4 linked regions of the Rhinolophus ferrumequinum genome follow. The protein of the gene in region 1 purifies or fractionates together with the protein of each later gene. This does not show direct contact. Links are inferred from orthologs where the notes say so. Each region holds a gene or a part of one and is shown in the gene's direction. Other genes may lie near its edges. The genes, in order: NFKB1, AURKA, LRPPRC and SPAG9.

Region 1 (7,792 bases):
GGTACAATTCCACTTAAGTCTTTTTGTTACAATGTTATAAACTCAGACCTTGTAAGTCTCACTCCCCCTCATCTGTCTGTCTTCTTTCTTCTGATCATTTTGCTATTGTATCATACCTACCATTCCAACATCCACTACATGCTATCTTCTTCATCAAGTTTTCCTGAAAGAAACAACAGTATTCATAATAATAACCAATATAAATGCGAGTTTCCTGAGCATGTGGCACTTTGGTCTGCACTTCATGTGCATGATCTCTTTAGACCCTTACAATAGCACTACAAGGCGGGCATAACTATCATCCTATCTTACAGATGAGAAAAAGAAGGCCGGAACAGTTATGCACCTTGTCCAGGGTCACATAACTACTCAGGGCAGAACAGGAGTGAATTATTTTCTGTGAAGGGCACAGTCAGGCACTGGCTTCCAATCTGAAGGTAGCACCTGTTTTCCTCAGTCCGAGAGCTTAACCACCAGGCACAATGCAAGCACTGTGGTCTCTCTCCCTACCTATGCCTAAGCATTTGCTTAAACCTCCATGAAGGCATTTACTGTACTCTGCCTCATACTATAATTACACGCACTCTTTTGTGTTTTGTGAACTCTTTGAAGGCAGTGATGATAGTGCGTAAATATTCATTTGAATTGATAGAAAAGATGCTAGTATCCTTAAGACCAGTGACATTCTTCTTGTAAATTTATTGTCTCATTTCAGTGTGTCTGCATTGCCAACGGAATAAAACTCTGGATTCTGCATATAATCTCGAGAGGAAGATGATCTCTACGCCCTCTTCTGTTGATTTTACTCTTGGTGATATGACCCATTACACAAATCACTTTTGTCCTGGCTATTATATGAGGTCATTCTTCCTGGCTTTATATTGCGAGCAGAGATTACATCTTCTTTTTCTTTTGTAACCACTTATACAGGCTAATTGAGTGCTCCGTCAATAAGACCTGTAACTGCAAGCACAAGACAGAATATGGCAAGCCTTTTAAATGGAGGTGTAATGAAATACTCCACTATCAACAAGGAGAGATGCCACTATTGTGTGCCCCAGTAGTCAACAGTGCAAGCATAGAAGTCCCTTAAGCCCACAAGGAAATTAATTTCAAGTCTTTTTTCTTAGACTAACTTTATGTTTGTAAAACCTTTTACATTCTTTATCTCCTATTTGTTTCTAGACCTCTGTGAGGCAGGATTGTAATAATGTAACATATATGCATAATGCAACATATAAGTTGTTACTTATGTATGTATACATACATGTGTTAATCTACTAACTTGTGTTGCTATAACGAAATACCAGACCCTGTGGTTTATAAATAGAAATTTACTTCTCATAGTTCAAGATCAGGGTGCCATCATCGTTGGGTAAGGGCTCTCTTCCAAGTCACAGACTTTTAATTATATCGTCATACGATGGTAGGGAGCAGCTGGCTCTCTTGGGTCTTTTTCATAAGGGCACTTATCCAAATCCTGAGGGTTCTGCCCTCATGACCTAATCACCTCCCAAGTGCCCTGCCTCCTAATACCATCACCTTAGGGGTTAGGAATTCAACATATGAATTTTGGGGGAATGCAAATATTCAGATCATAGCAATACAACATACATAAAATGTTATGTAAAGCTATTCTAGAGCTCATCATATGAACTATAATGTTATGATTATTGTACAGGCAAAGAAACTGAAACTCATACAAAGCAGTACTTGGCAAAAATTACACAGATAATTCAAGGCAAACCTAGGATTCCAACTCAAGTCTGATTTCAAGTCTACTCAAGTCTTTCCATTTTATCTTACCTAACAGCTGTGGTCTGAGTGTTTCTAAGCATGTTGAGGTGCCTTCGTGACCTGAAGCAAGTTCTACCCTTTACAGAAATATAGTTCACTCCTGTCCACAAGATGGGTCTGAGTTTGCAGGGCTCAGATGTATAATTTTGTATTTGTGAATCCCCTTCACACACTATATAATCTCTCATTGTCAATGGACACACTATATAGATCTCAACCTAACAAACTTCTGGACACTGACATTTATAATACTCAGTTTGAAAAAGGAAATTCATGTGATTTCAAAGATTTAGTGATAAACACAGTACAACTTTTATAAACTTGATGCCTAAAATTCCACATTTAGGCTTTTTTTTTCATTATACTCTGATAATGGCAAATGCCCTCTGACACCTAATTTGTAAGAAACACTCCTGGAAGCAGGTGTAGAGTAAGTATTGGGAAACAAAGCAGCAATGCAGAAAGGTTAACTGATAAGCCAAAAAGAGTAGACTGGGGGCTTTTATACTTTTGTCTGCTTAGTGTATTTGATTGTGTCCCCCTCAAAAATATGTCCAAGGCCTTATCCTAGGTACATATGAGCATGACCTTATTTGGAAATAGGGTCTTTGCAGATTAATGAAGGTAAAATGAGGCTATACCGGATTGAGGTGGGCTCTAGGTCCAATAACTGGTGTCTTAATACGAGAGAGAAGAAGGTGATTTGGATACAGAGACACAGGCAAGAAGGCCATGTGAGGACAGAGGCAGAAATTGGAGTTACGCAGCTAAAAGCCAAGGAATACCAAAGATAGCCGGGAGCTACCAGAAGCTAGGAAGAGTCAAGAAACGATTCTTTCTTGGAGCCTTCAGAGGGAGCATGGGTCTGCTGACACCCTGATTTCCGATTTCTGGCCTCTAGAACTGTGAGAGAATCAATTTCCATTGTCGTAAGCCACCCAGTTTGTGGTAACTTGTTAAGGTACCTCTAGGAAACTACATACTCCTGCCTAACACCCAGCCCTCAATTTTAAGTCCACTCTATTGGATAATTTTGAGTTTGAAATTTAATTTAATGTTTTTCACTAATTAACACCTTTTACTTGTTCCCAATATGTCACGCTGGCTCTATTCTTCCAACAATCCAACCCTGTCTGTCCATTCTTTCGGCAACAGGCTATTCACTACCCCCTCAACGCCTCAACCCCATGCCTGGAATGAAGAGTGTGGCTGTTCACACCTGCTCCACAAACAAGAAAAAAACACCACCACTCCTCTAATACTTGGTTGTTTCATGGGAGTTTGCACTATTTATGCTCATGTCAGTGACCAAAAAATATATACAAAGGATATATTAATCTAAAATACAGTATTGGCGCAATTTCTAATAATGTCCCATACGTAATAACGCAGTGTTTGTAAAACAGTCTTCAGTCTTCATAAATCGCCTGAATTACAGCTGTTCAAACAGCCTGTGGGAGTTAAACGAAATCCCTTGAACGTAGATTGTTGGTTGGTCCCCAAGGTCATTGCAGAGACTCACCCCGGACCCAATCAAACGGATCTCTACTTCTCCGCCAAACACTCCACCAAGAAGATTCTTATAACCTTGGGGAGGTTGGGGCAAGGGCGAGGAGGACGACTAAAGGGAACATGGCCAACTTGCTAGGGGCAATCCAATGTCATAGCAACACTGCCTGGTGATGGCTTGATGACCTATGTTTTAAAATATGCAGTTGTCACAGTGGTGAGATAATGAACTCTAAAATATCCACTCAAAGTTTCTCATTGAGGGAGCTAAACTACCCCAGGGTATCCCCAGCCCGTGTCTAGCGCAATGCCTGGAAAGTAAAGAAGCTCAGATCTAGTGAATGGTGGGATGCCTGCTGGACGTTCCAGCAGCGGTCTCTCCAGAAAAAAAAGAAAAAGAAAAAGAAAAACTCCCTTCTGTTGGATCAATATTTCTTTATGAGCTGTGGACCAAAACCACTGCTACCACCATCACTATAATTCTATCCACCGTAATTATCATAATGCCCTGTAGATGGGAGTTCAGAATAAGTCCCAACCAAGTTACCGAAACTCAGATGCTCAGACTGCGCTGGACAGAAGTCGGTTATATCATAGAAATTCCACTTTAATTTGTGAAAAGATTTGGGTGTAACTGAGACAATTTAAAGGGAACAGACAGATGAGATTTATTTTTATACAAGGCATGCTTAGCTCCACGCCGACTCATCATCCTCTCCAGGTGCTTGGGCCTGTCCTTAGGGGCTCTGGACCTCCCGAATCCAACAGCCAGCCCTACGCCACCGCCTCCGTGCCGCCTGCTTCCCGGGGCAATCGGGCCCCGGTGGCGCTTCAGGGGGCGTCCCTGGCCGCTCCAGCCCTCGGGGCTCCGGGAGCGCCGGCCCGGGAGCAGGAGCTCCGCAGGGGACTCCGGCGTCCGGGCCTCGGACCGCGCGCCTCGTTCTCCGCCCCGAAGCGGCCCCGAGGGGCGGGAGCCGAGCGGGGCTGCGGGGCCGAACCGGGGGCGCACAGCGGCCCCAGAAGTGCGGGCTTCCCCCACCCCCGGTGGCGACCCCACCTCCCGCCCCCGCGGCGTGCGCGCGTGTGTCCGTCTGTCTGTCTTCTCGCTCGACGTCAGTGGGAATTTCCAGCCAGGAAGTGAGAGAGTGAGCAAGACAGAGAGACAGAGAAGTGCACCAGCGAGCCGGGGCAGGAAGAGGAGGTTTCGCCACCGGAGCGGCCCGGCGACGCGCTGACAGCTTCCCCTGCCCTGCCCGTCCGTCGGGCCTCTCCTCAACGCCGCCGCCCTCGGCCTGCGCCCCGCCGCCGGCCCCTCTCCGAGACCCCGCGCAGCCCAGGCCAGAGCCGCCGCGGCCGGGAAGGCGGCGCCGCCGCGGCCCGGCCACCGCGCGCCCCGCGCTTCCCTCCGCCCGCGCTGCGACATGGCGCGGCGCTGACTGGCCCGGCCCGGCGAGACCGCGCGCCCTCTCGTCCGGACCCGATCAGACCCGCACTCGGACGTGCTTTGGCCCCGGCCGGCCTCCGCCTCCTCCTAACGCGGCCCCGAGGCCCGCGCCGCCCCGGAGGGGGAGCCCGCAGGCGCCGGGAGGCCGAGCGCGGACCCGCCACCACGGTAAGCCAAACTCGGGCAAGTGGGGGCCACGCCGGGGACTTGCGGCCCGAGTCCCGCCACCTACCCGCCCCGCACCCCTCCAGCCCTGCTAGGACTTCCTCATTCCTGCGATAGCCGCTACCCTGGACCCTAGGAGGAGGTTGACAGGAGTTAAGAGATTGGCGAGAGGGGGGAAAGGCACATCCGGACTTGGCGGGGGCCAGTCGGCCCGAGGGCCACGGCTGCCCGGGCTGCCCTTTCTCTTCCCGTCCTTCCGCCAGGCGGGAACGGAACCAGAGGGGAACTCTGGCAAACTTTTTTTAATCCTCACCCCCACTCCCTGCTGCGGGGTGGCTTTAAGGTTGAGGTGCGCTTGGGCGCGAAGGAAAGAGGGGAAGGTGGTTGGTGCAGTGCTGAACCAGATTTCACCTAAGGGCGTTCCATGAAATGAAAGCAGAAGTGCATGGCAGTCCTCTCGGCTGGGGAAGCCCTCCCCAGCTCCCCCAAATTGAATAGGACAGCCTTATTCCTTCAAAAAAGAAGCCCCCACTTCACACACACACACACGCACCAGGACATAATATATTCACCTACTATAGGATCTGGACATTGGTTTTCAAAAAAAAAACGAGGGCCTGAGACTGATCTCCAGGGCCTGGCATTTGAGAGAGAAAAGAAATTACCTATTTAGATCACTTTTTGGACACTCTGATTATGAAACACTTGGAAAACGGTACCATGTGTTGTGCATGACCTCTAAAACAAAAAAATGCTATAAACAAAGCCTAGCCTAGATCCAAGTTTTCTCATGGTCTTTAAAAATAAATAAATACTGATGGAGGTGTTTGCCCTGATTTATTGGCCTATTCTGAAACTTAAATGGGACTTAATGACACAGTATCTGATTATCAAGATTTAAGACATTTTCATGGATTTGTTAAGTAGGGTTTTTCAGCACTGCAGCTTATTAAATAACTATATTTAACTTACAGATTTTGTCATAAAGCCCATAATCTGAGAAAATGACTACAGTATTACTAAAACACTCAACAGCCCTGGCATACAAATGTTCTACAAACTGATGAGCTTTGGAAACCCTAAAGTTTGAGATCAAGATGTTCAGTGCTTATTTTTCTAGCAATACCTCAATTGAGTATTCTTGAGCACTTTGAATTGCATTAGCGTTTGTTAAAACTTTAAAAAGGAATCTTGATTAAAATAAAGCCCTTGGCTGAATCATGTTGTTTTCCTGATTTTAATATTGTGCTTTCTAGAAATGAATTCTTTTACTATTTCATGCACTAAAGAATTTTGGAAATGATTTAAAGCAAAGTATTTTTTTGAGCTTATGAACTTGGGAAGCCAGGAAATAAAAAGACTTGTTTCTTGTAGCCTTTTACATTGATCACGTAATTAAATTGCTACAGTGAGAAGAACATACATGGTAAATGTAAACATGAAATCTCCTGAAATTGTTTATCCATATTGATATACCTGCAGCTCCTCAATGCCTCCTGGAGCTCGTTTAGATAAAATGTCTTCCTGGGCCACAGCCTACTGGACAAACGTGAACACAAAGGAAGACTCATTATGTGTAGATTTAATGCTGGCACCGAAATACTGCTTATTGTGAAGAGTAAACCACTTCTAAATTGTTGAGAAGACTTTTTAAGGGAAATACTATAATCCAGTTGGGGTTGGGGGCAATTGGAAAGTCTATTATTTTTGTTTAGTAATTTCAATTTTGTCTTATGTTCGGCAGTTGGCATTCACATCAGCTGAATAAATGCCTCTATTTTTCAAACCCAGTTAGTAAATACTGGAGTATACATACAAAAATAGTTGTTCCCCTTCTTAAGCTCTGCTTTGATCTTTGCACTTCCTTCTTCTACCTCTTAAAACAAAATTGTCTGTGATGACTGAGTTGCAGTTGGTAAAAGCTCAATTAGTCAGAAATAGGCAGAATTTTAGATTTAGTGATTGTATTCCTCAGAGACGTATTTCTCTTGTCATGTTCCTTGAAACAATTTGAAGCTAGTTTGAGAAACAAATACATATGCAGGTTGTTTTTACCACTGCTTTCATACTTCCAGATAATTGATGAAATAAGTTTTAGTAGTACCTGATTTTCAGGTACTGCTTATTGTGGTAGATAGAAGGTCTAGATAAGGAATTGGAGGCTATAGGAATCTGGGACTCTCATTCAATCAGCAGGGCCTCATTTTCTACCCAGTATTCCCCTGTTCACAAGAGGTGAAAGTTCTGGCTTCTGAGGGGAAGTGGTTACTTCATAACCTTCAATTAGTTTGAACTTAGGAGAAGAAAGAACAATAGTTGACATTTTAAAACAATACATTTTAAAAAATGATATCTGAGTTTCCATATGGATTTTTGATAGTCAAAATATGATCTTTTTCTTCTTCAGAACTTATTAGTAGGTGTCCTGTTCTGAACATAGAGATGACTGCAGTAGAAAGTGTGTCTGGAAATGCAGAGCTGTTTAACCAATAGAGTAACTATTCAAATTATGCTCTTCTAGTCTACAAATTGAACATGAATCACATTAGCAGGAATGGATACATAAGAATCAATGGCTAAGCAAAATTTCTTATGAATTTACCTTACTTAGAAGGAAAGTTGCCTTGTTTGCTTGATTGGTTTTCTGTTTATATGACTCATAAAAGGTGGCATGATTGCTATATGCTGTAAGAAGAGAAGGAGAAGAAGAAGGAAGGATAGAATTTTAGTGCTGGAGGACACTTTCAAATGTTCTGTTTCTACATCTACGTTTATGTATGATATGAGTTCATTGACAAACGCTTTCTTGGTAACCAGTAAACCACATTGAAGCAGTTTACCCTGCTTTCTGGGAATTAACTCTCTTTGCACACTTGT
Region 2 (7,508 bases), on another chromosome or scaffold:
CATGAAAAATGTTTTAAAAGACCAAGACAAGCTCTGGGTCTAAAATCGGGCAAGATGTTTGCCAATGTCAACTCACTGTGTCGTGGAGGTACATGACTTAATACTTTACAAAACTAGGTACACCGACCAGGTTGCATGCTTGGAGACAACACTGTAAGGCAATGCGGGTTAGGCTTCAACACGCAAAGTCACCGCCCCCCAGTTTTTGCCTCCAAAATTCTCTACCTTAACTGCAACTACAGAAACTCAAAAACAGCATTCGGTAGTTAAATTGTCCATTTCTGCCCATTCCGGGTTTTAATATTTTTAGTGCTGAGATGTTAGCAGCTACGACGCTCATTATGTCAGAGGTAGTATTAGCATTAACATGAAACATTTGAAAGAATGCTGCTACTTTATCAACATGCATTTTTAAATTTAAAAATAATTCACGTATCATATAAACAATGTTTTCTAGCATAGGAAAATATCCATAGGAAGGAAAAAAAAAATGATCTTATGTCGCCCAACGGTAATTACTGTTAACATGGCAGTATGAATTCTTCTGGACCTTTCCCCCTGCACAAAGTTGTTTCACTTCTTAAAAATAGAAGAACCACACTATATGACGTGTTCATTTATTCACACAGAATAAACATCTAGCCAGTGTAATAAATGTTCATCTACGTCACGTTGTTGGATCCAATTGTATGGCTATCAGAACATTATTAACTAATGATACACGTTGTGCATTTCAGTTGTATTCATTGTATTTCCTCAGGACAAATTCTCACAATTGGCCCTGCCAAGTCAAAGGGTATAAGCATGTTTGGTAATTCTCTGTTTTACTGAGTGTTTTCCGTGACCCAGGCAAGCAGCAGGGTACACTGTCGAACAAGACAAGACAAGGTCCTGATCTGGCGCTTGCGCTTCTTTTGAAGGGGGAGGTATGGATTGTGTGGAAAACCTACAGCAATAAAGAACATTTCAGACAGTAATTCTGCTAGGAAGGAAATGGGACTGTTGTTTTAGAGAAACTGGCGAAGATGGTGGGGTTATTCTAGAAGAGGAAAAGAGGACTCAGAGATGACAATTTGAGCTGAGACTTGAAAAAAATTACACATGACAGAATGCTCCAGATAATTCGCATAAAGATGCTGAGGCTGGAACCAGCTCAAAGTCTTCATAATTTGGACGATCCTTACTCCTTCAGTATCTAGCACTGTATTTGACACATACTAGGCACTAAAATTAAGTGGAAATGTCTTGAAAAATTCTGATGTGTGAAAACATCTGAAACCTCGTCATGGGCTCAATCAACGTGCACTCCCAAGCTACCGAGTTTGATGAGATGCAGGAGCTGCTCTGAGGGCGCACAGACAGACTGCGGCTTGATCTCGTTGATGAGGCCATTGGCAATGCTGATGTAGCCGTCATACAGCAGCTGGCTAATGATCAGCTTGTAGAGCTGCTGGCGGTCCTTCAAGCCCACTTTGGTTCTGTACATCTTGAAGACGCGGAAGACACTTTCCCTGTCAGCTGCAAGAGAAAACGAGTGGCTGATGAGGGGGAGGGTCACCGGTAAATCACAGAAGCAACCAAGAAATCGGGTCAGATTTGCGGCTCATCAGTCACAGCTCTACCACCTGCATTATCTTTGCCCAGCGACCTCGTTTCTCAATCTGGTTCCTCAGCTGTTAAATAAGTTAGTGATGGCTAAACAAGATAGTGTATGTAGGGCATTTCTTCTCTGCTAAACTACCCACCTGTGATTTTCATTTTCTTGCTATCCCAGAATTTCCATTCCTTCTGTTAATAAAACATTGACTGGTGTTTGCAACAGGTAAGATAGCTGTTATTATTGGATGTCTAGGCACTACTGTTTCCACCAGCTGAGCTGTATGCTTACTAATGTCAGCTATATTCATTCTTAAAAAGTTTTAAAGCAACTGAGGTTGTTAAATTATATAATTTAATTAAACAGTAAATAAAATATGAAGGCAAAAAAGCTACTGTGCTATGAAAACTAAGTCAAGTGAATGCTTTGGAAAGATTCAAAGGTGAACTGCTTAATAAAATATGAACAAATAGCATATGGACAAAACAATAATAATAAATGGAAAAAAATGTAAAACTCTGAAAGACTGTACACTTAGATTGATTTATAAGTGTCTGAGTTCTCCCTCAGTCTTAGAAAGTGAAGAGAAAATGGTAGTGATGGTTTCTGGTTCATGCAAAAAAGAAAAGGACTCTAATAGGTGGACATGACTAGACAATATGATTATCAAAAGTCAACGTGTGTGGAGCCGGCCCGGTGGCTCAGGCGGTTGGAACACGTCCTCAACCACAAGGTTGCCGGTTCGACTCCTGCAAGGGATGTTGGGCTGTGCCCCCTGCAACTAGCAATGGCAACTGGACCTGGAGCTGAGCTGCGCCACAACTAAGACTGAAAGGACAACTTGAAGCTGAACGGCACCTTCCACAACTAAGATCGAAAGGACAACTTGACTTGGAAAAAAGTCCTGAAGTACACACTATTCCCTAATAAAGTCCTGTTCCCCCTCTCCAATAAACAATAAAAAAAATCTTAAAAAAAAAGTCAATGTGTGTATGTATTTGTACTCAGAAGGCTGAAGGAGCCTGGGGACAGCAATAAATAAAAGTCCCATGTAGTTATGGTAGAGAAGAAAACTGGAAGGAGAGCATGGGAGAGAGATGAATAAGAGGGAGGGGAGTGAGTGAACAGTAACACTAGCACTCCTGGTATTGCTGTACTTTACAGGGGTGACTCTGGAAGGGGGGTGTTATAGGAAAGGGGTGGGAAACCATGTTTTCTAACTACACAATTACTGAGGCTCCAGATCATAAGAGCTAACATCTACCAAGTGTTTACCATGTTTTAGCTCACGTATTCCTCAACACCATCCTATAAGGGAGGTCCTATAATCTTGTTTACGGAGGAGGGGAAATAACTTGCCCTGGGTCTCCCAATTTGTGCCTGGAGGAACCAGGACTAGAACAGAAGTGGTTTGACTCTATAGAGACCGTTATTCCTAACCACTTCTTGCAGTGTTCCTTAAAAACTTAACAATAAACTAGCTAAAATGTATTGGCCACTCAGTACAGTACATAACACATCTTGTAAGCAACTAACATGCATTACCTCATTCAATCCTCATCTAATCCTGTTTTAGAGATGGGCAACCTGAGGCCCAGAGAGATTTAACTCACCCAGAATCAAACAGCTTGTAAATGGCACAGCCTGGACCCTAACCAGTCTATTTGGTCCCAGGGCCCGAGTTTTACTGTGCTGTACTGATGGGTGTTAAGAACAACAGCTAACATTTATTAAGCACTTGCCAGACTCCATGCTAAGTACTTTATAAGCATTAGCTCATTGCATAACATCATTCAATGTATTTAAGTACAAGTAGAAGCGAATGTATATAAACCTATGCTTGTGTAGACACAAAAGAGATGATGAAACTGGATCAAAGAGACCCACTGAAAGTAAAATGTGGCTGAGTAACTCGTCCAAGGTGAAAGTGGCCGCCAAGACCGTCCACACCGGAGCCCAGAACTTAATCGCTTTCTATCCCGTCTCTCCACTTCTGCCAAGAGCAACAAGAGGTGTACACAGAGAGTTAAAAAAATTAAAGAGAGGACGAGCCCCGCTTCTCAACTCCCACGGAAAGTTCGTTCGCTGGGCTAGTAAGCGCCTAATTACCACCCCCGATTTGCAGGTGAGGACGCCCAGGCACGAGGACAGGAAGAACCCAACCCAGGAGCCAGAAGACGGACCAGGGAGGGAACACACACAGCTCAGAACTTAACGCTCCGCTACCGTCCCGACACAGAGGCAAAGTAAGGATGGAATGAGGGTGGGAGCGAGGCCTGTGTGCAGCAGGGGGGGTGCAGGCCCAACCTGGCAACTCAGGGCGCATGCCTCCTCGCTCACTATCGACCCTTCCCGCCTCACCCCAATCCTTCCCATGGTCCCCTAAAGGCCCCAGCCAACGGCACCAGCCACTCTCCACGTATCCGGGGCCCTCGTACCCGCTTGTCCGGTTCTCACGTTCTCCTGCTCTCCGCTAGAAAAATGGAGGCGCGAATCCTGCCCGATTGATCACTCCGAGCGCACCTTCATTGCGCACGCGCAAAGGACGCCGCACCGAGCGCTGCGCTATCGATCGGCCCACTCTCTCCGGTCCATCTCGCCATCTTACTTACTGGCGCCTTTAAGGGGTCCGTCCGTTCACCTCCTCCGACTTTATCCCCTACGAGACAACCCTGAAGCCAAGGGGCTTCTGTCTCAGACAAAAGTCAAGCCCTGGAGAACACGGCGGGCGCTAGAACAGCTACAGGCCTGCAGGGCCGTTGGCACCACCACTTCCGGGACCTAACGCGCAAGTACGCCTGCGCGCCGTGTCTGCCGTCCTTGGACGTGACTCAATCCGCAGAGTTGCCTGTGAACCAATGAAAATGCAGCGCCTCCCCAGCCCAGGCCAATCAGCTTTTGGATTAGAGAGTTTAACTCCTATTTAAAATGACTCTTTGAATCCTAACGGCTGGGCTCTCGGGAAGACTCGGCGGCTTTGGGTCGGAGGCGAGAGCCAACAGGTGCCTAGGCCTTGGTGTCCTTCTGTGAGGTGGGCAGGCAAAGGCGGCCGGGCTGGGTGGCTTTTTGAGCGGGCGGCGGGCCGGGTGAGAGGGAAGCGAGCACTGAGGCCGCGAGTCCCGGGCTGGAAGAGTCGGGGTGAGAAGGCCTCCCTTGGTTCCCCGTCCCCCTCTGTCCTACGCTTGTCCCTCCCTCCATCCTCTCTTTGTCCCCCTTTCCCTGTTCTCCGTCTCCCGTGCGCTTTGCAAACGCTCTCCCATCTAGCTGCTCCTGGGTACCAAGGCTCCCTGTGAAATGCCGCTTAGTGTTTACTAAACACCTGGCGTTAATGGCGTTGTTGGGGTGGGATGTTTTCTGTTGGGATTCTCCTATTCAGTGAGCGCCTGAGTAAGAAAAAAATACAGAAGGTGTGTGCTGTCTTGGAGTTTATTTCTAGTGGGGGTGGGGAGACAGACGACGAACTAGCAAGGGTAACTTCCAATAGTGATGAGTGGTAGGAAAGAGATAAAACAGTGTGTGTGCGCTTTACCGGGGGCTGCCTTGGGTAGAACAGCCAGGAAAGGCCCTTGCCCTGGCTGGATGGACGAGGGGGTGAATCCATGATAGTCAGAAGCCTTCCTGGGCTTTTCAAACCTTAGACCGCCTATATCGAAATTACTTGGGCGTTTTTCTTAAGCACAGAGGCCCACCCAATGAATCACGAAGGGCTTGGGCATAGGACTCAGGTGTCTACTTTTATCAAGCTCCCCAGGTGGTACTGATGTTTGACAACTAGTGATCTAGACCGGCGCATCTGGGAATGTTGTTAAAATGCAGGATCTGATTTGTTAGGTCTGGGGTGGGCCTGAAAGTCTCTATTTCGAACTGTCCTTGTGATGTATATGTAGCGACTGCTCTTGACGTCTAATGTCTCCTCCTCAGCTTTGCTTGTTTGAATTAAATCCTTTTCAGCAACATACCTCATTTCATTTCCTCTCCACCCCTCTTCATGTATGCAGATATTACTAGGTTGCACGAAGGAAGGAAAAGTCTAAGCCCACAGGGCTTATCTAACAGTTTTCCTGTGTAGAATACCAGGATCGCTGGTTTGAACTGCAGGGATCTTGTGAAGGTCATCTGGTCATGTGACTCCTGAACTTGGCTCCACACCAGAAGCACCTGAGAAGCTGTCTTCCGGGTGCTCTCTCCAGAATTTCTGGATCAAAATCTTATTCCTTGTGCTTATTATTATTAATCTACCTGAGAAGGATATCAAAGTGGAGCCCATGTCTGCAGTTTCTGTGGAAGAACGTTGAATAGGTGTCCTTAGGTCTACGTGATTTCCTTAGTCTGCTGCTTATAATTAATTGTTAGGGAGAGGAAAGCAAGCAGTAGGGTGTGTGAGATTAACATTTGCAACACATGAGCATATATTTCCTTCTCCTTTTTATCTATTGTTTCTCCTACCCACTGTTTGATATAAGGATGCTAACCTCTACAGCCCTGGTCCCATCTTCAAGGTGCAGTGATTTGCATGTACAATAAGTGGATGTGAAAGCCTAGTGTGGGAATGCTTTCTAATTGGATTCTAGAATTCAGAGAGCACCTGGGTGAGAAAAATACAGAAAGATTTCTGCTTATTGATGATCTACTTACTTGACAGGTTGCTGCCTGATTCACAGTATGGGCTTACCACGTGTTGTAAACTACTTTTATGGTTGATTTGCTTTGTTAATGGATTTATTTGTTCCCCATACATTGGCATACATGCCACATGCCAGGCGTGTTCTGGGTTCTGAGGGAGATAGTGAAAAAAATGGGACTGATTCCTTGTTCTCCTGGAGCTTACTCTCTTTGGAGATACTGAACAGGTAGCTGGAGTCTGGGTAGACAGGAAGCAAGTACAAGTAATGTTATGTAAGTAAAATGTTAAGTAAGGGATATGAAGAAAAACGCAGGAGAGGTGGTCTGATAGGGGACATTTGAGCATAGACTGAAGTGAAGGAGCAAGCCGCACTTCTATTGGGGGAAAAGCCTTATAGGTAGAGGGAACAGGAAGTGCAAAGGCCCTGTGGCAGGGAACTCCTTTGAGGAAAGAAAGGAACCCCGTATGGCTGGTGTGCAGTAGACAAGAGATAAGGATGGAGAGGTGGTCAGGGTCCAGGTTCTGAGACTTCATAGGCCTAAGTCTAAGCTAAGTGAAGAAAGGAGTGGAAAAGGAGCGATGGAGCTTGTCATGCTGCCTAGAATGCAAGTAAGATGGAGGCGGAGAATTGACTTTTGGTTTTGGATAGTAGGGGTCAGTCAGAAAGTTGACTAATAAATGGGAGCGGGCTCAAGGGAGGGTGTGAGAAAGAGCAGGTAGTAGAGATGACCGCGTGGACTGTTGCAGAGTTTTGCTGTTGAAAGGGGAGGTGAGAGATGTCATATCTTGAGTCCATTCTGGGGTAGAGGACTTTTTTTTTTTAAAGACCAGTAGGTATGCGAGCAGGCTTATATACTGATGGAAGTGATTCATTAGAGAGAAGATGACGGAGTAGGACGAGTCAGATCAGGAGTGAAGTCTGAGTACTGGGGAAGGGAGGGGATGGGACGCAGTGTATGGGGGGAGGTTGGTCTTATGGGGAAAAGCCCACACCTGTACGCTATATCACGAGAAAGCATTACGCCCTAATCAGCTTCTTGTGGACGAAGAAAAAGGGTAAAATTCTGTGTTGTTGAGGCTTTTTCCAGGCGCTGTCACCCTGATGCAGCGTAACAATACTTTGAAGCAGGTGGGTTTGTATAAATTAAAAGTTCTTCTTTATTCTTTTCAGACACCATGGACAAACCTAAGGAAAACTGCATTTCAGGGCCTGTTAAGGTAAATAAGCTGTGGTCTGAGTCCCATTTATAAAACCCGTATGGAGATCGGTCCTCTAGCTGGAATTTT
Region 3 (7,242 bases), on another chromosome or scaffold:
ACAAAATGTCTTCTTACAGCTGGTTTGTTTGAACGATCAAGCACCATTTAAAAAAAAATGAAATAGAAGAAAATAGATTAGTAAATATCCCAGTGCATCACAGGTAACACAGCTTCTTATTGTTTTATGAAATTTATTTTTGCATGTGTGTATTTGTGTCACTTATAAAATGTACTTTCTTACCATTGGTCACAGTCACAGAGGCAGGAAAGCCACTGGTTTCGTGATCGTCTCCGGGCAGACTCGGCAGTTTTAGGAGGGATGTATGTACAGGAAGGAGAGCTCTCTCTGCTCTTGCTGTTCCCAGCGCCTGGAACACTCCCCCCCCATCCCCCCCCCACCCCCGTGCCACCATGTCCACCATTTAAAATTCTTCCCCAGCCTTCAAGGGCTGAAATGCCATTCCCACCTTCTTCTGTTCTCCAGCCCAGCAATCACTTGGTTTGCCTCCTCTTTGTTGCACTCATCACACTGCCTTATGTAATGATTATCTGTATACAATAGTATGTATTTTATCCTCCCTTAATAAAATTAAGCCCATCAAGTATAGTATTCATAACTTCTTTGCCCTGGGATGTAACCTGCCCTATGCTTTGCTTACACAAGACATTTAACAGCTGAATACACTGAGTTAGGAGTCTGAGACCCTAGTTATAGGTTATTAGGCAGTGAAGATGTTGGTGTCAAATATCAGACCCAAGGAAAGACTGGAGAACCCAAATGCGTGAGGTTTAGACGTGATTGTGAAAAGCAGCAACAATCGTAGTAGCTACATTATTTTTCGGCGCTTCCTATGTACCTGGTACTTTAAGTACTTTATGTATTTTAACTAACATTCCCCAAAAAGTCCTGGGAGGAAGGGATCGGTATCGCCAGTTTTACACATGAGGAAACCAAGCACTTAAATACTTTTGCAAAATCTTGCATCTAAGCTGTCCTTCCTAGTAAGATTCTGTTCAGAGGCTATACCATACACTGGGACATGGACCCCTAATTTTCTTATCAACATGTGAATCCATTTCATAGTTCAGAATAAGCTAAGGGAGAAACCAAGGATCATCAACCTGGCCTTTTCTTCCTCTTTGTCACAGCTTCTGGAATCTGAAGAAATCTGAGAAGAACTTGGGAAGTCTGAACTGAAAAACAAGCAAACATCACTCCTTCTTTCTCTTACACAAACATATGAAACACACACACGTGTGTGCACACACCTTGCATGTGTTAACAATTATTCATCCTTCCAATCTCAAGCTAAGGATCCTTTCCCTGGGGACTTTTTTGACTCCCAGGTGAGGCATACTCTCTCGTGGAAACAAGCTTCTTTCCTTCAGAACCTCTGTTTCAGTATGTAATTCATTCAGTGTGATTATTTGATTACCTTCTGGAATGTAAGCTCCATAACTGTAACGACCACTCTTGCTTTTGCCCATCATATTTTCTTCTAGCACTTAACAAGCTACGTGGCAGATCTTAGGTGTTCAATAAATAGTGAATTAATAAATCAATGCCTAGACGAATTTCAACAGTTGCTTCATACTTCAGGAGGAAACCCGGTACAGTAACAGAGAGAACGCTCGTTGGGGATTAAGGGTTTCAGCAATTAGAAGAGAAGATCCATTCATTCTCACTATTACCTCTATTAGTCTTGTTGCATCTATAACCAGATACCTGTCTTTCCTCTGTGACAATGACTGGACTGGCTGGATTCTCATCTAAGGTCAACCCCCTCACTTTTGTACTGGATCCCATCTCCTCTCGCCTACTTTGTGTACTCTTTCTCTCTCTCATGCATTATCAATTTTTCACTCCCTACTTCAGCACTGATCAATAGAATTTATTATGATGGAAATGTTCCCTGTGCTGTCCAATATGGTAGCTACTATTGGACACTTGCGGCTAATACCACTTGCGGCTATTGAGTTCTTGAAATGTGGGTAATCACTAAGGAATTGAATTTTTAAATTTTTATTTAATTTAACTTAAATAGTTACATATAGATAACTTCCATCAGCATCAAACATGTTATTTCTTCCATCTTAAAAAAAGTCAACCCCCCTTGATTTCACACGCCCTTCTAGATACCACCCCCTTTCTCAGCTCCCTCCTTCCCAGTATATTCTACAAAAGGTTTGTTATGCTCCCTGCCACTTCCCCTTCCCTCATGGACTGTTAAACTAACTTAAATCAATCTTTTGACTCAACATCACCATGGACCTCTGAGTTGCCAAATCCTATGGTCATTTTACCAGAATTAAAAGCAGCATTTTATGTGGTTACTTCCCTCCTCAGTTAATTGGGACTCCACCACTTTCTCTTTGTTCTCCTCCCCTCTCTGGCTATTCTTTCTCATTTCTAGTACTGGATTTTCATCTTCACATCCTCTAAATATTGAAATGTCACAAGCCTCAGTCCTTGGACCTCATCTCTTGACGATCTATATTTTCTTGCAAGATGCTTTCGTTCATTTCCATGGCTTCAAATAGTAGGTATAGGCCGGAGATCCCCCAAATGCATGTCCAACTCTGAACTCCAGACTTGAATGTCGTACAGACAACCCCCTACTCAAACTTGACATGAGGATGTCTAACAGGCACCTCAAGCTTACTATTCCAGAAGATCACGTTTGATTGCACCTTTTAAATCTGTTTTCCTTTAGTCTTCCTCCATTTTAATCAGTGCCATTTCCATTTTTCAAATTGCTCAGGCCAAAAATTTTGGAATCATCCTTGATCTCACAGCCAATCCATCAGTAAATCCTCTCGGTTCTACAATTTGAGTGTAAACCTGATCCTTTCTCATTATCTCGCCTGCCACCCCCCTATTCCGAGCCACTAACATCTCTAGTTATTGTAAGAGCTTACTCATTGGTCTCCTACTTTTATTTAGCTGTATTTCCTTAGAACCACCTCTCCAAACAGCAGCCAGTGATTCTTTAAAAATGCAAATAGGTTCATACAGCAACATACCAAACTTTCCAATGGTTTCCCATCTCATTCTGAATAAAAATCAGAGTCCTTACAGCAAGCGGGATGTAACAAGCTGCAAGATCTGGCCCCAACTACCTCAGACCTCCATGCCCACTCTCTCTCTCCTCCCTGCCTTGCTCTTTCCTCACATCCACTGTCCTTACTCCTCTTTGAAGGGGGGTAAGGAGAGATGAGCTAGATCACCTCAAAATACACATTTACTCAGTAAATACGGAATGAAACCTACTGGGAGCGTGGCATTGAGTATGTGCTTGGGCTACAAGATGCAGTCACACACTCCCTGCTCTGAAGGAGCTCAGTGTCCAGTGGGATAAACAACCAAACCAGGAAATTACCATGGAGGGCTTCCAGAGGAAACTTCTGAGTGTTCACCTGGGCATGGGTAGGATACAGACAGGTAAAGAGGAAGTGCTTCCCACGTGTGCACAGGGAACCCTTCCAAACTGTAAACCCTGTGAAGGCAAGGGCCTCCTGTTTTATCCCCAGATTTGGCTCCAGACTCTTAATCATATCGTTCTTACCTCCGATGCTGGTGCATTTACTGAAGGAAGGGCAGCACGGAAGTTGGGGAAGATAAGTTCAGTTCCAGCTTTAAAACTACACGACCTCTGTTAAGATCCACCTATGTCTTAAACCAGGTACTGCTTACAGACTTAGGGTTGGACCTAAACGTGTATCTTTACATTGTCCCCTGACCCCAATAGTACAAATCACATTGTATTTATCCTTGGAGGCTACTAGCACAGTGCAAAGGTCCTCAACGTTTCTTCCCTTCCACTTTTCTGAGAGCTATGGAATCTTCCTATCAGCCCGGCAACTTCGGCGCCGAGTAGAAACGGCTGAACGCCCGCAGCAAGCTCCGCACTCGACAGAGAATCGCTCCGCACTCCGGGAATCTTCATAGTCGGCAATTCTCGAGAGTTCCCGAGGGTTTTTGCTGGTTGGCCCCCCGCAAGCCCCTGCGGTAACCTGGGAGGAGTCGACCTCTTCCGACTCTACCAACTGAAAAGCTCAGGGGGTGGAGTGATTTAAAATGATGAGACGAAGGACAAAAGACGGAAAGACAGTTTTCCTTAAATAACGAATCAAGCCACATTGTCATTAAAACGGGGTATGGGACTCTCATATCTCCTCAGCGAAATAGGTCTTTCCACTTTCCGAGCTAAAACAACCCTTGTCTCCCCCTACATCTGGCGCGCTCGACCTTTGGTCTCTCCCGCGCCGGGCGACCCCGCGGTCACGTGCTCCTCCTGTCCTTCTAGCCGAACGTGCAACCTGCAGTGGGGACAGCGGAGCCATGGCAGCCCTGCTGAGATCCGCCCGCTGGTTCCTCCGTCCCGGGGCGGCCCCGCGCTTCCCGATCTCCCTGCGCCTCCTCGCGGGTGGCCCCGGCCGGCCGCACGCTGCCCTCTGTCGGCCCGCCGCTCGCGCTGGGCCTGTCGCCCGGTGAGTTGCCCAGGCAGTTCCCCCAGCCCGCCTGCAGCATGGGCGTCCCCTGGGGTCATTGATGCTGCTGAGGGACGGGCCCCTATTGTGCCCTCTCCATGCCTTTTTTGCCGTTCCACGGCCAACCGTCCCGGGGTCTCGAGCCAAGCTCCCCAGGTGACTGGGTTGGTTGTCTTCAGAAGGTCATGGCCGCGGGCATGGCTTGCTTCCGTCTTGGATTCTGCCCTCGGGCCACCGGTATTTACGGCCTGTGTAGCTGAGGGCCTTTGAAGTCTGTCTACAGCGAGGGTCAGGTGTTAGTCCTCTCCTTAGGATGAATCGGCTTGGGTGCTGTCCCACGTGCAAGCATTATTGGTGCTCAGTAACCAGCTAGGACTTAGATTTCGAGAGTTTTATTGGTGGGGAGGAGGATAGGCTGGGAATTTTGGGTGAGCTAGGGATCGCTTAGCGATGGACGTTTCATTATGATCAGTTTGGGCTTTTGTCTGAATTTTCTTGAAAGGAGTTTTCCTCTCAGTATTCACAAAGGTATGATATGGGTTGGGAATTGTCACAGTAGGCTCTTAGTGTAAGTGAATGAATGAGTGCAAAGCACTCCGTGGGGTTCTGGGGATGCGAAGGCAAGTTAAATTCTCAGTGGGTGTCAAACGTGTAAATAAATGCCCTCATGAATTGAGATTTATCAGGAGATTGGTTTGGTATATACTTTGGTGGGAGAGGCGATAGGGAAGCTGGATGAAATTGTTAATTTGCATAGTATTCTGAGAAGGGGAGATGGGCGCTGAGGTTTTAGAATTGGAGAAAACTTGATTTCGAAAGACTGGTGTTTAAAGTAAAGGTATTTTGGAAGAGCGTGAGGACTAAGAGCTAAGTATCTGGAATAGACCAGGGCTGGACTGCAGACCTCTCTATTTGCATAATACCATTGGACAAGTTACTTGACATCTCCAGGCCTCAGTTTCCTTAGTTACAGATGGAAGTTGTAATAATGTTGGTAGTATTGCATGTAAAGCATTTAACATAAGGCCTAGTACCAAGTAAGTGCTTTATTAGTTACTATACTAGTAATAACTATGTATGATTACATGGATCTTTGTGGAGCAGCCTGGAAACCTCTCTACGTAAAATTGTACGAAGGAAATGTTTTATGACTTAACAACTGAGTTATAAAATCTTTGGAATGTAGCCTACTTGTAACCTGGAGCCTGTCTGGATTTTCTCATTAGGCCTCATTAGTTAACCTTCAGAAGTTTCACCTCTGCTTTTGCAGAAGTAAGTTTCTTGTGAAAAAGTCATGCTAATTAATTACTCTTATTTTTCTAGTCCTTAACATCCCTCTGGGGCCAGAGGAGGGTCATTGTTACTGTTCATGTTCACTGTTGGGTTTGAGGGAAACAACAGAGAGAACAAAGGAGTAGAAAGGGTATTATAAAAGGTCTGGGTGTTCATCAGACCTGGGGTCCTTTGACTTGGCTGTTTGATCTTACCTAACCTCTGTGGTCCTCAGAGGTAACAGGCCTTCCTCCTTTGTAAAGCTGATTTCCTGTCATTCAGGGCTCAACTTAAATGCTGTCTCTTCAGAGAAGACTTACCCCAACACTCAATCTAAAAAACTATCCTATTTTAGTTTTATCATGGCACGTTTCACTTGTTGATAATGTTTATTTTTCCTGTCTGTTTTCTTAGTAGAAAATGAGTTGCATGACAGCAGAACTTTGTCTTGTTCACCACTGTGAACAAGCTCATCACTCAGCGCATAGCAACTAATAAGAGAAGTATTTGTTCCTTTTTCTCCTTCAGTATGAATACTTGTTTCTAAAGTCTCCTGTCCCTCAGCCTGTAAGCTGCCCAGATCCCTTCCTTCCCACCTGTAAAACAAAGCCTTCCCTGGGACCCGGGACTTACTCTAGATGTTTCCCAATCTCTCTTTCCTGTCTGTGCTCCTATCTCCTTCATTTCATCACTTCACATTCACTCTTCTACCCACTGCATTCATCACTGCAAAAGCCATCATTGTCTTGTTTACTCATTGTTATTGTGTATCTTTTTTTTATTAACTACATTAATTTTTATTGTATGCTTGTGTATTTTCAAACTATAAAATTTGTGCTTTGGGGAACAATTGCAAAATACAGGGAAAAGCAATAAACTGAAAATCATCCTTAATTCTTCTAATCACTTACAATTAGACTCCTAATCACTTACAATTAGACTCTGTGGTAGCTCCCATTAGTTCCCGAATAAGGTGCTTCATGATTTGGATATACCTCTGGAGCCTCGCTTCTTAAGAGTTTTTTCCCATGGCATCCTGTATTCTGGCCATACCAAACTACTACTTCAAAGTCAGCAGGGCTTATGAAACTATAATGAGCACAAGAATTTCTTGGAGATCTTGTTAAACAGATGTAGGTTTTGATTTTGTAGGTCTAGGCAGGGGATGGAGATTCTGCATTTCTAACAAGCCCCCAGGTGATAAAGGTGCTGCTGACCTGTGGACCAGCAAGGCTCTGATGGGCCACGGTGTACATCTCCCTGCCTTTGCATAGAATGTTCACTTTTGAGGTGTCTCCCCTCCCTCCGCTCAAGTGTTCTCTCCTTCTCTGTTAAATCTTTGTTGACTGCTTCTCTCTTCTGACCTCTCCTTTCTTCTGCTTTCTCTCACAGCGTGAATCACTAAAGTATCCATTAACATGATTGCATGTGTACCCTCCAGAACTCCAGACCTGGCTGTAAGTCCCTTGAAGGCAGGAACTTGGTCTTATGCTTTTTGCCTTGAGTTGAGTATATCAATGAAAATCTTAGACTTTGA
Region 4 (6,862 bases), on another chromosome or scaffold:
AAAATAACCAAATGTATTACATGTATATATACTGGGATGCCATAGCAGTATGGGCCTGGAGGGCAGATGGGGAAGTTAAGGCTTGTATGTCATCTGGAACCATCCTGAACCAAGGAGAAGGTGGGGTTGTGATTTGGGATTTTAAAGGGCAGGAAGGCAATTCTCATGGAGATGGAAAAACAAATGTTTGGTAAATCAGTGTTTGCTGGGATCTTTAACAAGGGGATACTGACAGGACTTTGATCAAAAGTGCCTTTCTAGGTTTCTCTCTATCACACTCTATAGTAATAGCTCCCTTCCTGGAGCAGATCCTCTATCCAAATTCTTTTAGGCAGGGAGGGTGAAGTTCAAAGGTTCTTTCTGAGTCTTTCGTTATTTAACAGGTTAATATATCTCAAAGAGGCATATTTTGAGGTGGCAAATGCTGCTTCTCCTTGTCGCGGAGCACGTTCTAGTTTGTAAGGGGTGATGAATCACTTATCATTTCACACCGCCATAGGTGGAAGGCCCTGTGAACTGGGAGCCCTCTTTTCCCTTGTCAGCAGAGAGACATTCTCTCTTCCCATGTGAGAAACCGTCATTTGTGAAACCAGAGAAACTGATTCACGTAGAAATAACTAAAAGTTCCAGAAGGCTGGACAAACAACAGGACTAGTCGTTTTAGTCTTCCAGTGATTATAGTTATTGTACTTAGGAAGAATCTCCTTCCTTCCTGCCCTAAACGACTCCTCCCCTCCGCGGCTCCCTTACTGGCCTCTATTTTTGCAAGGCCAAAGAATTTCTTAAAATGGAATTTCCTTCCTTTTAGGAATCAAGAGTAAACATTTACTCTAAAGTCCACTGCATGACCTGTTTTCTTGAATGACTCTTAGTCTTTAATAATAATCTCAGATCTTGGGGTTAGAGGTAGGTGCTGGGAATTTATCCAAGCTGTTGGGTATAGGAGTTAGCATTACCGACTACATAATTAGGAGTTGACTAACGGGACTCTATCTCAAGGCCCTCTCTTTTCTGTCTTTCATTCCCACCTACAAAGGAGAATCACAGAATTTTAGAATTGCAAGAAATCTTTACAGATTCTATAACACACTTCTTCATCATGCAGATGAAGAAGCTGAGGCTCACAGCCCATTATTACAGTCACTGGCACCTAGTAGGTACAGTACTCAATAACTACTTGCATTATAGTTTCTGGCCTAAGTTCAAAATGACCAGTCCATATTGGAATATAAGATCCCCAATTTAAAAACCATTTTCCTTCCACTCTATCACACTGAGTTATGTACTTCCATTTGGTTTACTATAAACTCATTATAGCCATAAGTTTGACTTAATTTTAACAGCTTCATTGAGATATGTCACATATCATACAATTCACCTAAAGTGTACAAGTCAATAGCTTTTAGTATATTCAGAGTTGTGTATCCAACACCACAATCAATTTTAGAACATTCTTATTACCCCCAAAAAGAAACCCTAAACCCATTAGCGGTCACTCCTATTTTCCCTCTTTCTCCCACCTACTCCTAGAACAACTACTGTGTTTCCCTGAAAATAAGACCTAGCTGAACAATCATCTCTAATGCGTCTTTTGGAGCAAAAATTAATATAAGACCCAGTTTTACATAATATATGACCTGGTCTTATAGTAAAACAAGACTGGGTCTTATATTAATTTTGCTCCAAAAGACGCATTAGAGATGATTGTCTGGCTGGGTCTTATTTTCGGGGAAACACGATAATCTTTCATATGTGGTGGCCCTTTGTGACTCGTTTCTTTTACAAAACATAATATTTTCACAGTTCATCCGTGTTGTAGCATGTATTTCTTTTTATTGCTGAAAAATAAATATTCCATTATATGCATACACCATATTTCTCTATTCAACAGTTGATGGATATTTGGCTGAATTTTATTTTAAACAAATTTGATTTCTGATAGCTAGCAGGAGCTTAAAATCTAGACATAAATATATATCTCTATGTTGAATTTATACGTAAAGAAGCATACTTATTATGAAGACTTTATTATTTCATACCTGAAAATCAAGACTTTTTTTCTTAAAAATTTTCTGATGGGGGTGAGGGGTGCTGTTAGCTCAGTTGGTTAGAGCATGGTGCTGGTAGCACCCAGGTTGCTGATTTGATCCCCGCATGGGCCAAGGTGACCTGCGTCCTCCTTAAAAAAAAAAAATTTATGTGTATAATAATATTGGGGAAAGACGAAGTAAAACCTTGCCCTGAGTTTCCCTGTTGCTCTGACTCCCAGGAAAATACAGGCACATATATAGGTAGATTGCCTAAGTGACAGCCCTCAGGAAGAGATAAAAAAGAAAAGAAAGATGCAAAGCACGCCTCTTCTTCTGGTTTCAACTGTGAGATTTAGAAGAGAAAGGGCATTTGGGGCTCACACCCAACCAGCGGACCGACATTCCTAAAAGCCGGGGATATACACAAACAATTTAAGGGGTGGGTGTGGAGTTGTGGGGTGAGAGTGAGAAAGGACAATACAGGACGCAAATTCAGTCCCGTCTGACTTCATAAGGCTTAGTATTTTCATTTTTGTCCTTCTGAATTTATAGGTTGGCCCTCGCTCAACCTTCGTACTGTTTTTGTGGGTCTCCAGGTAGGTCCAGATTGGGAGACTTTGGAGGACTAGTTCGTGCTCGGTAGGAAGAACTCGCACTTGTAAATACCAAGTTGAGGATATTTATAATCCTGGGAGGTGGCCGATTTCCCACTACACCCTTGTTTATGCAAGGCCTGCCTCTCCTCCCCCGCCCCCCGCCGGGTCCCCTTCTTATTAGAGTTGGACCGCAGTACTCCTGAGTCACCTGCGGGCGGAGTGCAGGGGCTTTGGGGAGTGTCTTCCGATCCTTTTGCAGAAGCTAGACGAGTACACCGGGAAGCGATTCTAGACTCAGCCCGCCGCAGGCTTGGGTGTGTCATTCCCCACACGTGATGCTCTCCCGGGCGGTGGAGACCTCACTTATCATGGGACTTACCCCAGTGATCCTACCCCTTTCCTTCTCTGTTCCCCAACCCCCACTTCCCCGCTCCGCCCCCACTTCGAGACAAGAGGAAAGGGGGTTGGCTGGAGCCAGGAAATGCCTCTCCCAAGTTGGACGGGAGAAGCAGAGAAATTCAGTGTTTGGGAAAGTACCAAGATGTGGCATCACAATTTTATCCTTTCCAGAATGCTTTGCACTTCCTCTGTTTCAACCTATCCTTACTCATGATCCCCAAATAGGTCTATCCTATTGGAGACCTCCTTATCACTTAAGACAGACCTTGACCTGGTTAAGGTTGCTTTTCTCCGAGCCTGCCTAATTCTCAGTCAGAACTAGTTTGAGTCTCGGATCAGCCTCCTTCGCGTTCTAGCTGCGTGACCTTGAGTGAACCACAACTTTTCTGGGCCTACTTTCCTAGTCTGTGAAATAGAGGTCAAACGTCTACCTCATCGCGCCCGTATTGAGGAACAAATGAGAAAGCCCTTTGTGAGCTGTAAAACAATAGAAATGTTAGTTATGTTAATTCTGGACAGCTACGCACGATTCCAGAAGCCCTCCCTTTCCTTTGGGCCCCGCCCTGCAAATCACGTCTAGAGCGCACAGTCCCCACTACCCTACTCTCGCAGTCTTTCTCACTGGCGAACGCACGGCGCGCGCGGCGCCGACTGTTGACGCCTGGCCCCGCCTCCGCCGGCGCATGATGACGCGTTGGTCCCGCCCCCGGCCGCGCCTGGCCTCCCGCGGGGCCCCGCCCATCGGGCAGACGCGGCGCCGGTCCCGCCCCGCGGGTGACGTGTGCCGCGCACGGCCGGGCCGCCCAGGCAGTTGGTGCAGCGGCCGTTGGGTTGAGTGCGCTCACCCCACCCCTCCCCTCCTCAGGCCCCGGGCCCCCACCCCGCAGGGCCCAGCCCCAGCTCCAGCCCCAGCCCCAGCCGGGCCCGTCCCGTGCGGGCCCGTGCCGCCCCTTCAGCCGGCGACGCCCCGGGCCGCCCGCTTGCCCGCCACCATGGAGCTGGAGGACGGTGTAGTGTACCAGGAGGAGCCCGGAGGCTCCGGGGCCGTGATGTCGGAGCGGGTGTCCGGCCTGGCCGGCTCCATCTACCGCGAGTTCGAGCGGCTGATCGGGCGCTACGACGAGGAGGTGGTCAAGGAGCTGATGCCACTGGTGGTGGCCGTGCTGGAGAACCTGGACTCGGTGTTCGCGCAGGACCAGGAGCACCAGGTGGAGCTGGAGCTGCTGCGGGACGACAACGAGCAGCTCATCACCCAGTACGAGCGGGAGAAGGCGCTGCGCAAGCACGCCGAGGAGGTGAGGGCCGGCTGGCTGCGGGGAGGGTCCGCGCCGAGTGCCGGGGCGGCCGGGGTCGCCGCCCGGCCGGGGAGGGGAGGCGCGCCCGCGTCCGGCCTGATGGGGGCGGGCCTGCCTGAAGCGGAGGCTCGCGGACCCGCCTCGGCGGCCGCAAGGTTCCCGAAACCCCCGGCCGGCGTGGAAAGCCGAGGCAGGCTAGTGGGTGTCCAGGAGAAGGGAGGGAGCTGGGGAGGCAAGGCCCGGGAGGAAACCACAGCCTGGCATTGGGGCACCTAGGGTGGGCTGGGGGCAGAGATTTCAGAGTGTATGGTTGCCTTTTGTAGTTTAGGGAAGTTTCCGACCACCATAAGATACTCAGATGGCGGTTCAAACTTTTACCCTGGGGACGGGGGTGCATTTAAATACTTCTGTCCTGGCTTCGTAACTTCCGCTGACTCCAAAACCTTTCCCGGGGGTTACTGCTATGGGAAGTTAGAGCTCTCCCTCTTTCGATCATGTTTTTTCTTGACGTTTTAACCCTGTTGAGAAAGAGGTTTTATGTTACGTTTCATGTGCCTCGGTTGACTCTTTGTCAACCCTGAGATGTTGTATAGCAATACTCTGTAAGTATGGAGTATACAATTTTATTTTATTGGTATCCCACAGCAAAGCATTCCTCCATATCAGGTGGTAGGTAACCTTGGACAGTTCCCTTTAAATATCCTGTTTGTTTATCAGGAGGACTGGCGGGGGCGGGGTCGAGGAGGTGTAGGTGACTTGTTGGCAGCCCTTTTACGACTGTAATTTCCAGGTGCGCTTGGCGGGCTAGCACCTCAGCAGTGACCTCAGTACCCGCACCGAGGTCTGTGAACCTTTTGGAGCTCTGGTGGTGTTCAAGAGATAGGTCTTCGACTTTTTGAGACTTTCAAGGATTTTCGCTTTCAGGCTGTGTTGGCATTATTCCGATGGAACTATCTAATGCAGGGGAAGTATCCTATTCATCTTTGTTTCCTGAGCATCTAGTATACCTGACTAAATTACAGGATGATTGAAGGAAGCTAACTCATTGAAGGAATGACGTGGTATGTTTCAAAAATACTTGCAAAGGTTTTAGGATGTGAGATTTGTTTACCAGCTTGTTTCCTAACACTAAGTAGTACCACTATGTAAACTTTCTGTTTCATCACATATACCTTTGTGACAGGTCAAATCGTTTTTCTTTTTTAAGCTTGACTGTAGTTATGATTTTTAGTTCTGATTCTGTGATCCATTTGTCTCAAAGAAATGTTGTCAAACAAAATTGACTTTATTTCAAGAGCATTTCCAAGCATATAGGGAAGGAGCGGTTGGAAAAAAAATCCAAGGATGGGGGTCACAATTTCCACTAGTTTATTAGCACTGTTTATAGAACAGAGGTCATGTACTCCTTCTGAGGTGGCATACATACCAGGTCTTCCTGCTCAGACAGGCCCTTGCTAATGTGTGGATGTACTTGGATCGGACTGGGAAATTAATCACATATACACAGGTGAGGAGCACGCCCAGCATGACCTATAACTTCGGATAAAAGAAATACTCCCTCCAGTCTTAAACTGTCAGTCCATGCAAAAACCAGGGCAAAATGCCAGGGTCACATGTGCCAAGAAAACCATCTGCCACAGATTGCAGAATCAGAAAATAAAACTAACTGCTAGACTCTGGATTGCATATTAATTTCTTAAGCAAATGACTTTAAAAATAGGTTATCCAGTGACTTTCTTGTAATTTATACTTTTTCAAACACATCTATAAATTCTCTATAATGAAACCTTCGGGCAAAGGGCCATGACCTGAGAATAGAGAACACTGATGTAATGCTAGATGTGCCAACTCCCAGACCACAAACATAAAACCACCTTGTTATCAGTCTTCATGTAAGATCATAAATCAAGTATTACCCTCTACCCAGAAATTCAGTCTCTTTTAAGTCAATATGCGGAAGGGAATTCTGTGTTTAATTTTCTGTGAGTGTTTTGTTTGTGGCCTTTAATATGGAGACTAAGAGTCTGCTATTATAGCAAAAGTGCCTCAGGGTATTTACAGCAAAAGTATTTAAAAGCATGGAAATTGTCCATCACTAGAAACTGTAAAGTAAATTCTAAACACCTTTGTGGAAATTTAGGAGGATATGTAAATGGTGAGAATGTTTTAAGAGGTGTGAAGTGCTATCTCTTGCTTGCAGGAATTCTCAGCAAGGAACCAGATGTTTAATCTTTATTATAACGATATTACTGAATTTGAATAACTTCTCTCGTTTTCTTTGCTTTTATTTGAATTTTTTGTGTGGCATTAACCTCTTTTTGTAAGTCTTCAAAAACAACCTAAAGGAAGGCTGATTTTTGTGATCCGTTTCAAAAATTCAGGAACCCTATTATCATATTGCTCACTACTTTCCCCTTTGGGCTCCCTGCCCCAGTCTGTCTTTTCATTCCTTAACCATGTTCTGTCTGATGCTTTCGCCTGTGCTGTTCCCTTGGCCTAGAATGATTTTCCTTCAGAGGTTCACCATGGCTAACTCCTCACG

Evidence for each region.
Region 2: the proteins of NFKB1 (region 1) and AURKA purify together in Homo sapiens (affinity purification with mass spectrometry; 4 studies listed by BioGRID and IntAct, counting the BioPlex papers as one, with this or other methods). This does not show direct contact. The link is inferred for Rhinolophus ferrumequinum from reciprocal best matches to the Homo sapiens genes NFKB1 and AURKA.
Region 3: the proteins of NFKB1 (region 1) and LRPPRC purify together in Homo sapiens (affinity purification with mass spectrometry; 3 studies listed by BioGRID and IntAct, with this or other methods). This does not show direct contact. The link is inferred for Rhinolophus ferrumequinum from reciprocal best matches to the Homo sapiens genes NFKB1 and LRPPRC.
Region 4: the proteins of NFKB1 (region 1) and SPAG9 purify together in Homo sapiens (affinity purification with mass spectrometry; 5 studies listed by BioGRID and IntAct, with this or other methods). This does not show direct contact. The link is inferred for Rhinolophus ferrumequinum from reciprocal best matches to the Homo sapiens genes NFKB1 and SPAG9.

Annotation. Positions count from the first base shown.
Region 1 is NC_046288.1:53,442,313-53,450,104, forward strand, and holds the start of NFKB1 (nuclear factor NF-kappa-B p105 subunit), read left to right. Parts: upstream 1-4,778; 5' UTR 4,779-4,918; intron 4,919-7,792.
Region 2 is NC_046306.1:5,113,452-5,120,959, forward strand, and holds the start of AURKA (aurora kinase A), read left to right. Parts: upstream 1-4,507; 5' UTR 4,508-4,628; intron 4,629-7,392; 5' UTR 7,393-7,397; coding exon 7,398-7,439; intron 7,440-7,508. Other genes in the region: CSTF1 (cleavage stimulation factor subunit 1), read right to left, coding at 1,318-1,486. UniProt on the Homo sapiens protein: Mitotic serine/threonine kinase that contributes to the regulation of cell cycle progression.
Region 3 is NC_046296.1:41,111,267-41,118,508, forward strand, and holds the start of LRPPRC (leucine-rich PPR motif-containing protein, mitochondrial), read left to right. Parts: upstream 1-4,237; 5' UTR 4,238-4,284; coding exon 4,285-4,433; intron 4,434-7,242. UniProt on the Homo sapiens protein: May play a role in RNA metabolism in both nuclei and mitochondria. In the nucleus binds to HNRPA1-associated poly(A) mRNAs and is part of nmRNP complexes at late stages of mRNA maturation which are possibly associated with nuclear mRNA export.
Region 4 is NC_046304.1:32,604,728-32,611,589, forward strand, and holds the start of SPAG9 (C-Jun-amino-terminal kinase-interacting protein 4), read left to right. Parts: upstream 1-3,852; 5' UTR 3,853-4,017; coding exon 4,018-4,320; intron 4,321-6,862. UniProt on the Homo sapiens protein: The JNK-interacting protein (JIP) group of scaffold proteins selectively mediates JNK signaling by aggregating specific components of the MAPK cascade to form a functional JNK signaling module.